Ovis aries: one gene and its partners. The protein of the gene in region 1 interacts with the protein of each later gene in a pairwise test. Links are inferred from orthologs where the notes say so. Each region holds a gene or a part of one and is shown on either strand. Other genes may lie near its edges. The genes, in order: UBASH3A, GFAP and FGFR1OP2.

Region 1 (4,135 bases):
CAAGACTGATAACATCAAGTGTGGGCAGGAACTTCAATCCACTGCTGCTGAGGGGGCGAGCTGGTACGACTGCGGAGTGAAATTGCTTGGCAGTGTCTGGTGAAGGATGAACAAGTCCTGTGATCACACAATCCCACCCTGAGACAGGTGCCTAACAGAAATTCGTGCGTCGGGTACTCAAAGAAATATACCAAGAATGTCTGAAGCAGCAAAATTGAAAGGCACCCAAATATACATCAGCTGAGAACCAGCGGAATCAAGCATGGTGCATTTATCTGCTGGAACACAATACAGTGAAATATACAGCAATACATTGAAATGTGGTTGCTCTCAACATGGATAAACTTCACGCTCATGATTTTGGGCAAAAGGAACAGGCATAGAAGAGAACACACCATACGGTTCTGTTTATGTCAGGTTCAAAGAGGAGCAAAATTAATATACAAGTGAGAGCAACAGCTACGGGAAAGGAGGAGGAAACTAGGAGGCTGGGCGAGAGGCGCTGGGGCCGGGGGGCTTCCAAGGTTCTGCTGATGTTTCGAACAGAGGATCTCAACTCTGGCACTGCTGGCATCTTGAGCTGGACCCTTCTTTGCTGCAGCGTTCCTGGCCTCCCCGCACTAGGCACAGCTAGCAAACACTCCCTCCTCTGGTGGTGACAATCAAAATATCTCCCAACAATGCCAGTGGTCCCTGGGAATAGGGACCTGGGAAGAGGTCCCAGGTCAAGGACCTCTGTTTTGCTGCTGGTCCTGGAGGATTAGGGGGTGTCAGTTCACTATGAGCTCTCCACGTAGGATTCATCAGCTTTTCTGCATGCGTGTTAAACTTTATATTTTTACAGGAAAGAAAAGAAATCAATGAACAACTAAAAGAGCCAAAAATTTCAGAACTATGAGGGACAACAGATACAGCGTAGTTTAATGTCTTCTGCAGATAGGGAAACTAAGATCCAGGTGGCTCAGGGTTCTGCCACCAGTGGGACCCAGTAAAGAACCCCACCCCGGATTCCCCTCCCCCAGCCTCCCTTCCCACCCATACCAGGCAGACTTCTCCCAGCCCAAGTCAGAACCAAGCCGATCCCATGACCTCCTGACCCCAAACCCCACTGTAGAAGGGGCTTGGTGGACCCTGCACCCACACTCTGCAAAGAGAACTCTGAAAAGCAGTATCTCATGCAAACAGGATATTAGCTTTGTCAGAAAGATCAGAAAGGGCTTGAGGTTTTCTTCTTAGCCTCAGCCTCTCAGCTTTATCTGCTCGCTTCAGTCTGCAGCAGGAAGCGATGGCAGCGGGCGAGACCCAGCTCTATGCCAAGGTCTTCAACAAACTCAAGGGCCGCAGCAACCCCTCCCTCCTGGACCCCCTCCTGGGCATGGGCTTCCCGGCGCACACCGCGTGAGTACCGCCCGGCCTGGCCCGGCTTCCCGGACTCCGAGCTGACCCTGCTGTGGTCACAGAACTGCGGGCAGCTCAGAGCCCTGACTTCCTGTCAAGGGGTGCACCCTGCAGGCCCGGGATTCATCTCAAAATGAGGCCTTTTCTGCTTTTATAAACGACGCGTGCTTTGCCTTTTAAAGACAGACTTTGCTCTCTGGTGATGGTGGGATCCTGAGGTTTGTGAAATTGGAACCAGGGTTTGGAGATGCCTGGCTGACCCTCTCTATGGGCAGTTTGGATAATCACAGATGGCTTTTGAGACTTTTGAAAGCCCCTAAGTCGGTCAGGGGCGGTCTCTGATTCTGGGACCTGTTGAAATACACAGGAATGTTACTTCTAAATGCAGAGAAACCCCTTGTGGGTAAGGATTCTTGATTGTGTGATAATGATAATGGTTAAGGAAGCCCCCAAGCAGGGAGGATGTGATCTTAGGAGAAGGGCCACACAGAGACGACTCCACCCTGAGTATCCCCACCCGAGAGGGAAGGTGAAGGTGTTAGTCAGCTAGGTGATGTCAACTCTTTTGCAACACCATGGACTATAGCCTGCCAGGCTCCTCTGTCCATGGAATTCTCCAGGTAAGAGTACTGGAGTGGGTTGCCATGCCCTCCTCCAGGGAAGGATCCCCCCTCCAGAATGATGAGCTTTGAGCCTGGCAGTGGTGGCAGCTTCCACGTTGTTCTTAGATCTGATCCTTTTCGTGCCCATATTCATGTGAGAAATACATCAGAAGTCCCCTTAGGTGACTGTGGATGGGGAGGGGGCAATCTCACCCTAAACAGATAACAAACCCCTGCCCAACTGCGTGGAATGAATGAGGCTGGACCCCTCTTCTCCCCAACCCAAATCAGGACTTTGTTGTCATGTGGCATTCACAGTAAACCGGGAGTCTGTGAGACAGGAACTGGATCAGGCATGTGCGTGGCTGCCTGCCGTAGGCTGGACGCCATCCTGGGCACCGTCCATCAGGTGCAGATGAGGACGCAGAGGCACGAAAGGGAAGGTAGAGGAGGGGCAGGGCTGGAACCGCAGTCCCGGTGCCTATAAAATTCACTCTTCATTATGTGACTGAAGTTGCCGTTAGACACATACTTAAAATTCCTTCCAATTTAAGGACTTTCCTGACGGTCCAGTGGTTAAGGCGCCATACTTTCAATGCAAGGGGTGTGGGTTCAGTTCCTGGTTGGGGAGCTAAGATCTCATATGCCGCAAGGCGTGACCAAATTAAGCCCAATTCCTTCCAGTTTAAACATTAGCTATGTGTTGGTGTTGGAGAGACATGTTTGAAATGTCTCCCTGGGTGGGAGCACCCCAGTAAGTCTCCTGCTAACCTCTCCAGGTGGCCTCAGCCCCACCAGCATCCTCTGAAATAGCCCCACTGGGCAGTGGCCATCTCAGGTTCCTGGTGATATCCAGGCTAAATTTGAGGATGAATTGCCTTCATCAAACTCCATTCTGTCTAGTTGGGCCCGTTCGGTTAAAACTCAATTCACTGTACATACATCCCAGTTTCAAGGATGAGTAAGACACAGTTAAGCCCAGGGAGCTCGCAGATGGTTGGACAGGCAGGCGGACACGAGTCCATTGAGATGAGGGGCAAGGTGGCCATGTGTGGTGGGGAAGCACAGGAGAGCTGCACGTGCACTCTCCTTGAGCACTTTAGGGAGGGCTTCCTGGAGGAAGAACACCTGAGCCTAGCCTGGAAGACCCTGTGCCATTTCCCCCAGGGCATGTGGTCAGGGAGGCACGTGTACAAGCCAGGGCCATGGCCCTGCCTGGCTGCCTTGAAGATCTGAGAGTGCATGGGGGAGGATTAGCGAGGTGGGATTCAGGCAGGGGTGAACCTCAGGGCATGAACCCTTGGTCTCCATGCCAGGGACTGGGGGTGGGGGCCAGGGAAGGGAAACCATGGGTGGGAGTGGAGAGATGCAAGCAGTCTGTGTTTCCAAAACCACTGTGATGTTGCACAGAGGGTGGAGGTCTGGGCACTGCATCACGCTCTGAGGTCTAACCATCCAGCTCCCTGGGGTCCCTCCTGAAGGTCCGATGTATTGTGGAGACACCCCCCAACCCCGACCTTTTCCAAAGAATGAAAGTTAGCGTTCTGAGAGCTCCTTGCGCTCTGCCTCCCACAGGCTCAAGGCATTGGCAGCCACTGGAAGGAAGACGGCAGAGGAGGCATCAAACTGGTGAGTGGGGGGCCTGCAGGTTGTAGGGTCTCTGCATGGGAGCTGGGAGGTCCCCAGGATCCCCTGGTGGGCGGGCACCTCCATGCAGCCCACGGTGCCCAGAGAAAGCAGTAAAAAGCCCCCAGCTAGAACAGAAAACAAAAGAGAAAACTCTGAACAACGTTTTCTTAAGATTTCTTAAAATTCTGATATGATCCCAATGTGGCTATCAATGAAGAGAAACATTCATGTGGTTTGCTGTTGAATAAACAAGAAAGAGACATTTTTGCTGATGTGAAATCGAGGTCGCCACTCTCTCCACTTCTGATGGAGTGAGAACTGGCAGGTGGTGGTGAGAGCCCCCAGGCCTTGGCACGTTGCACCTTAAGGGTGCCAGGTGCAGGGGAGCTCTGGGTTCCAGGCGGCCCTGCCAGCCTCTAGCTCTGCGGCTTTGCCAGCCTCCCACTGCTACGAGCCTTGCTCTCCTGCCCCAGGAATCAAAGAGGACGCCCTGTTCTCTAAAACTC
Region 2 (3,586 bases), on another chromosome or scaffold:
GTTGCGATTGACTACTAGCCAACACTCTTGTGTTTTAGGCCCTGGGCTTTGCAAGGATTATCTTACCATGAAGTAGGTACTGTCCTTTGATAGATGACAGAACTGAAGTCCAGAGAGGTTAACCAATTTGGCCAAATTCACACAGCTCCTAAGCAATAGAGCTGGATTTCTAACCCTAGCTGTCTCACTTAAGAGCCTGTATTCTTATCTTTTTTTTTAACTGTTTATCTGGGGGGCTTTCTTGGTCATGCCTCTAAGCATGTGGGATGTTAGTTCCTTGACCAGGGATCAAACCCACGCCTCGCCCATTGGAAGGGTGGAGCCTTCACCACTGGACTGCCAGGGAAGTCCCAAGCCCACATTCTTGATGCTTCTGCCATCTGCATCCTGGGTTACTGAGTATCTGCTGCATGCCAGGCTCTGCCCTGCATACAGAGACACGTCTGACCAGGGGGATGTGATGTCACTCAGCTTGATGTCTGTGAAGAACGCAGCAGGGCAGGGTTTACACGCAACGCGGAAGCAGGACAGATTTCATGGGAGGGCAGTGGGGCCAGGCGGGACTGGCAGCCTACGAACATACAGAGAAGAGAGAAAGGGCATTCAGGAAGGGCATGCAGGACACAGCCTGAGTAGAGGCCATAAAGCACAGAAAAGTGGGGGCCCGGAGATCCTGGCCCAGGGCATGGAGCTGAGGAGTGTAAGTGGCAGAAGTCAGGGATGGTTCTGAGCAGGTTAAGGCGTGATGGAACCATGAGGGATTCAGAGCAGGCTGAAGGAGAGAGGGTTATTAGAACCTGGTCTCTGCTCACCAGAGCTCCCTGTGTGTGACCTAGGAGGACAGGATTCAGTCCCGAGGATGGAGCTACTGGAGAGTCTGGGCTCTGTGACACCCTCTGCTCATTCACGCGTTCCCTCATCAGGCACTGAGCTAGATGCTAGAGAAGTAGCAATGTCGTCTGTGTCTGTGTCCATGGGCCACGGGTGACTGTGAATAATCCCACCCAGTGCCAGTGGCGTGGGGTGGGCTGGAAAACAGCCGTACCGTCCGGCCCATCTCCCTGATCCTCCAGACCGCGTACCAACCCCCCGAGCCCACTAAGCTCCCGCGATATGCGGCCCCAGACCGCCTTCCAGCATAAAGCCCTCTCCTCATCTAGTTCGCGGACCTGAACGACGCCGCCGCCCGCAACGCGGAGCTGCTCCGCCAGGCCAAGCATGAGGCCAACGACTACCGACGGCAGCTGCAGGCCTTGACCTGCGACCTGGAGTCCTTGCGCGGCACGGTGAGCAGGGGCGGGGCCGCAGGCGGAGGAGGGGTACGGGTGAGCGAGCCGGGAACCTGGGACCTACAGCCCTAGCAGACGCTGAAGGACTGGCTCGGGGCGGAGCTCTGAAAAGTTTCTTGGGGCGGGGCCTCGGGGAACGGTCCGGCTCCACCCACAGAACGAGTCCCTGGAGCGGCAGATGCGCGAGCAAGAGGAGCGCCACGCGCGGGAGGCGGCGAGTTACCAGGAGGCGCTGGCCCGGCTGGAGGAAGAGGGGCAGAGCCTCAAGGACGAGATGGCGCGCCACCTGCAGGAATACCAGGATCTGCTCAACGTCAAACTGGCCCTGGACATCGAGATCGCCACCTACAGGAAGCTGCTGGAGGGCGAGGAGAACCGGTGAGCCCAGACCGGCCGCCTGCCCTACTGCCCCGCCCCAGAGTCGCCTTGCTCCCTTCACGAATACATGTGTGCTCGGACATGTCCAACTCTTTGCGACTCCCATAGATGGTAGCCCGTCAGGCTCCTATATCCATGGGATTTCCCAGGCAAGAATACTGGAGTGAGTTGCCATTTCCTTCTCCAGCGGGTCTTCCCGACCCAGGGATAGAACCCACGTCTCTTTGTGTCTCCTGCTTTGGCAGGTGTGTTCTTTACCACTGCGCCATCTGGGAAGCCCCATCAGGGACTGTCTTATTCAGCCTCGTGACCAGCCCCCTCCTATCCCAGCGCCCAGCACAGTGCTCACCTAACACACAGTTGGTATTCATAAATGCCTGATGAATGAATGGATGGATTCAATTCAGCCCATGTTGATCAGATCCTAGGGTAAGGACTTGGGTTATCTTCCAAACTAAAAGGCTCACTCCCCACCCTCCCAACAAAGACTGGACTTCTTTTCTGCTGACCAATCTCCTCTGCCTCCTGGGAACTCTCTTCACTGCTCTCCCCTCCCCTCTGTCATCCTCAGAGCACTCACTCTCTTTTGAGTGGAGGTGTTCCCCCAGAGCTCTTACAGCGCGGGGAGTGTGTTGGCTGCTGGAGAAGCTAAGAGATGGAGGTCCGCCTTTCCTGGCAAGGAAGAGGGCCTCGAAGCTATTATGGTGACCTTGGACCAGGATCTGGCCTGGGAGTGTCCTCTGGCAGGCTGGTCACCCCTCTCCTTCTGCTGTCTTTCAGCATCACCATTCCTGTTCAGACCTTCTCCAACCTGCAGATCCGAGGTCAGTAGAACAGGGTTTTGTGGGCAGAGTGTTGGATTCCCGCCCCCTTCCCCAGGCCTGTGGGTTGCTCTTCTGGTCTGAGCCCGAGGACCAGGGCAGAGGGGCCCAGTGCTCTCTGTGGGGACCTTCAATATTCATGGCAGAACTTCCAGCCAGAACACACCATTCCAGAGCATTCCAGGTGGGGCTTGCAGCCACTCCTGTCCTGCTCTGCCCTTTGTCCCTCCTCCCATGCCTACTCCCCATTCCACTGCAGAACTGAGTGAGGGTCTTAACCTCTCACCTGTCTGCAGATCCCTGTCCAGCTGAGTGTTTGATGTTTGTGTGTTTTTTTTTAACTGCTTGTCACTACAGGGGGCAAAAGCACCAAAGAAGGGGAAAGTCACAAGGTCACAAGACATCTCAAAAGCCTCACAATACAAGTTATACCAATTCAGGCTCACCAGGTTGTAGATGGAGCCCCGCCGGCTCTCGGTTAGCTGCCTGCCTTTTAGACATGGTGCTTTTTTCACCTTAATAGGGAGCAAGCTCACCAAGCCCACTTTCCCCATCTTCTTGAGCTCCCTCCTCCCAGGTTTCCCTAAAGGGCCAACCCTGTGTCATTTCCCCAGCAATCTCAGCGCCCAGTCCAGGACCTGGCACAGGGTAAATGTACATTAAAGTAGTAGAGTTGGCCAGTGTTCAAGGTGCTAAGTCCTCGGGTACTCAGCTCAGATGCTCTGGGCCTCTGAGCAAACACCAGCTTCTGCCTCACCTCTTCCCCATCACCAGGAGGGCCCCTAGAGTCTCACGGTGCCTGGCAGCCAGGCTCTTGGCCTGATTCCTCTGTCCCCGAGGCTCGGTTGTTCAGCTCAGGGCTGATTCAGCCCAGAGGATTATTTCCCTCTAGACTGCTGCTCTTGGAGTGAATAAAGTTTTATGTCCCCTGCTCTTAATATTAAACATTAGTGAGTGTGACATGTTACATTTTTCTCTCTGCAGGGGGGAATAAATTGCTTCTTACTTGTATGTGGCCCTCAAATAATTCTCAGCTGAGGGAAAAAATAATTCTTCTGGACTAGAAATTTAGGAACACTAGCTATGCATGTCCGAGGG
Region 3 (3,648 bases), on another chromosome or scaffold:
AATCTAAAGTAAACTAAGACATATAAGTCAACTACTTTTAAACTTCAGAAAACATTAAAAATAAAATACTAGTTAAGCAGAAGTTTGTAATAAAAGCAACACATAAATGTCAGTGACGGTCTTTTAAAAATAGAATCAACAGGGGGAAAAAAAAATCAAACCTGCTTCATAGCCTCTACTCGCTTATTGAGAGCAGTGGTTTGCTCAATCAAAGATTCTGCTGCATCGTCGTGGTCTCTCAACCTTTCAACAAGGGCTTTAGCGTCAGCAAGTGCCTTCTCAATGGTGCAACTCATTTCTAAAGGAATACACAGGGTTAAAAACGAAAAACAGATTCAAAAGAAAGCTGGCATATCAATCTTATTCTAGTTCCACTTTAACACACATTATGCTTAAGCTATATTTGTTACTGAATCGTTCACTGTCTCAGGATGAAAACCATCTAAGAACACATGTGGTTTTGATCCTGTTAAGATGGAACAAACTTGAAAGTGATTTTATAATATTCAAGAAATTATACACAACATATATAAATATATATAATTATATACTACATATATACATATATGTGTTTATATATACACATTATATATATATGTATGTGTGTGTATATATATATATGTATGTATGTATGTATGTATGTATATATATATACACACATAGGGCTTCCCTGGTGGCTCAGAGTTTAAAGCGTCTGCCTCCAGTGCGGGAGACCTGGGTTGGGAAGATCCCCTGGAGAAAGAAATGGCAACCCACTCCAGTATTCTTGCCTGGAGAATCCCATGGACTGAGGAGCCTGGTGGGCTGCAGTCCCCGGAGTCACAAAGAGTCGGACACGACTGAGTGACTTTACTTACTTTACATATATATATATATACATATATACATGTATATATGTATATATATATATATATATATAAGTTTGAGAACAAAATCAGAACGTATTTAAAACACCCTGAATATACAGTGGGGACAAAAGTGTACATTCACTAAATACATTTTATGTTATATAGACTCCTCTATTCATAGGATTCTTCAGGCAAGAATAGTGGAGTGGGTTGCCATTCCCTTCTGCAGGGGACCTTCTCAACCTAGGGATCAAACCCATGTCTCCCGCGGCTCCCACATTGTAGGTGGATTCTTCAGCGCACTGAAGAACTGATGCTTTTGAACTGTGGTGTTAGAGAAGACTCTTGACTTGGACTGCAAGGTGATCAAATCAGTCAATCCTGAATATTCACTGGAAGGACTGATGCTGAAGTTGAAAACTCCAATACTTTGGCCACCTGATGGGAAGAAGTGACTCACTGGAAAAGACCCTGATGCTGGGAAACATTGAAGGCAGGAGAAGGGGACAACAGAGGATGAGATGGTTGGATGGCATCACCGACTCGATGGACGTGAGTTTGAGCAAGCTCCGGGAGTTGGTGATGGACAGAGAAGCCTGGCAGCTGCAGTCCACGGGGTTGCAAAGAGTCGGACAAGACTGAGCAACTGAACTGAATGTTATATAGAAATTGCACTCTTCGTGAGGGCAATCCCTATCTTGCCATTTGTGAAAAAAGGTCATTTTATTATTTTGTATTCTGCAGTCAGTGACTGTCAGGTCTCCGACCATATGACCCCTCCTAGCCTCCGCTTGGTCAGGTGACCTCAGACACCATCCACAAACGTACACTACTAACCAGGCAAAGCGGCCTCTACGTGTCATGCTACACTAAAGGATCAACCTCCTTCTGGAGGAACTTCAGCTTCTCATAGGAAAATTCTCAGTAATTCTAACTCTCGCACTTTCCTTAGTAAATGGCAAAGGAAGTGCTAACTTAGAGCAACACTGGCCATTACGGGAAGCTTCTGATACGTTAAAGTCAGTGACTCAAATGTATAAAAGAGGCTGAAAGGCCAGGAGACAAAACATAACACAGCCAACAGTTAGCTTCTTCAACTGATACGCCGAGACCTCAAAACAAAATTTTTATTTTAAAATCTCTCAAAAACTTTAACATTCTGACACTGATCACTCTTGAATTTTTCTCTTTCTACTGTTTTGCCTTATTTTCTGTTAATATACGAGCCACCCTTTACGATTTTCTCAAAAAATAAAATTACTTTGTAATGTTTCTATGTCATAAGCCAAATCTATAGCAATTAAATTAAAACTCATGTGTAGAACAAAGTTAAGGGCTATAATTAAGGATTTTCACCAAGTTTAGGAAGACAGAATATAGGTCTTTTTAAGATACTACTACATGGGACTCGTTAGGTTAATTGTTAGCCCCTCAGATACAGAAAAATGCAGCAAGAGATTTAAATAACCCAACTGTGTAACATTTTAAAAGAAAGAAAATACAACACATCCCACCATTTTAGCAGGCTTTCATTAAGATTATACCTAGCAAAGATTAAAAATTGCAAATTAAATAAAGATGAAAAAAATTCAAACAGTATTCTTGGTTGTACCCAACAGCTGAAGCAGAGAGTATATTGTCCTGTTTTTATAAACAGGTTCAAAGCTGAATAAAAAGATTTAATCAAAATAAAATAAAACTGCCAATTTATAAAATGTTCCCTATATGACCAGACATTTCCAGAGATCTTTAAGAATTAAGCTGGAAATTAATACAACTTCTGTCTCTCTAGATAAAACAACCAAAATATTTGTCTTCAAAGATTTAGGAGATTTAGATAAGGGCACTTCAAAATACAACAGCAAAAGGGGCCACTAAAGGAACCAATTCTTACTGTAGGTTAAAACACGAAAGGACAGTCATTAAAATCTATCTAAGATGTCCTCCAACAAGGCCTTGCCCTTCTGGAATTACCTAAAATTAGAGCTAGGCAACAGTACAGCTTTCTCCAGTATTCTTGCCTAGAGAATCCCAGGGATGGGGCAGCCTGGTGGGCTGCCGTCTATGGGGTCACACAGAGTCGGACACGACTGAAGTGACTTGGCAGCAGCAGCAGAGCTAGGCAACAGTACAGCTTTCTTATTTATATGGGGGTCACTGTATCTCTATGGAGAATTCACTGTATCTCTATGGGGGGCTTCCCTGGTGGCTCAGAGGATAAAGCGTCTGCCTGCAATGTAGGAGACCCGGGTTCGATCCCTGGGTTGGGAAGATCCCCTGGAGAAGGAAATGGCAACCCACTCCAGTATTCTTGTCAGGAGAATCCCATGGACAGAGAAGCCTGACGGGCTACAGTCCACAGGGTCGCAAACAGTCGGACACGACTGAGCGACTTCACTTTCACTTTACTTTCATCTCTCTCTGAGTGAGTGTTAGTTGCTCAGTTGTGTCTGACTCTTTGTGGCCCCACAGACTGCAGCCCTCCAGGCTCCTCTGCCCATGGGATTCTCCAGGCAAGAATACTGGAGTGGTTAGCCACTTTCTGACCCAGGGACTGAACCTGGGTCTCCTACACTGCAGATTCTTTACCATCTGAGCCACCAGGGAAGCCCCTATATCTCCATATCTCCCATCAATTCCACTAACTATAGAACATCAGATTTTTTTAGAGTAAAATTACATTTAAAAACAGAAAAAAATGTCTTACAGTAAAAATAAATGGTTGCAACAGATGTTGAAAGAAAATAAAAAAGCAAAGTCTAGAGAAAGCTGTGAAAGATTTGAGATGTTTATCTTGATT

The links.
Region 2: the proteins of UBASH3A (region 1) and GFAP interact in binary tests that used the Homo sapiens proteins (3 or more experiments, as listed by UniProt). The link is inferred for Ovis aries from reciprocal best matches to the Homo sapiens genes UBASH3A and GFAP.
Region 3: the proteins of UBASH3A (region 1) and FGFR1OP2 interact in binary tests that used the Homo sapiens proteins (3 or more experiments, as listed by UniProt). The link is inferred for Ovis aries from reciprocal best matches to the Homo sapiens genes UBASH3A and FGFR1OP2.

Annotation. Positions count from the first base shown.
Region 1 is NC_056054.1:263,379,404-263,383,538, forward strand, and holds the start of UBASH3A (ubiquitin-associated and SH3 domain-containing protein A), read left to right. Parts: upstream 1-1,267; 5' UTR 1,268-1,285; coding exon 1,286-1,398; intron 1,399-3,575; coding exon 3,576-3,629; intron 3,630-4,135. UniProt on the Homo sapiens protein: Interferes with CBL-mediated down-regulation and degradation of receptor-type tyrosine kinases. Promotes accumulation of activated target receptors, such as T-cell receptors, EGFR and PDGFRB, on the cell surface.
Region 2 is NC_056064.1:44,354,771-44,358,356, reverse strand, and holds part of GFAP (glial fibrillary acidic protein), read left to right. Parts: intron 1-1,160; coding exon 1,161-1,286; intron 1,287-1,446; coding exon 1,447-1,667; intron 1,668-2,447; coding exon 2,448-2,491; intron 2,492-2,845; coding exon 2,846-2,965; intron 2,966-3,586.
Region 3 is NC_056056.1:188,458,240-188,461,887, forward strand, and holds part of FGFR1OP2 (FGFR1 oncogene partner 2), read right to left. Parts: intron 299-3,648; 5' UTR 297-298; coding exon 162-296; intron 1-161. UniProt on the Homo sapiens protein: May be involved in wound healing pathway.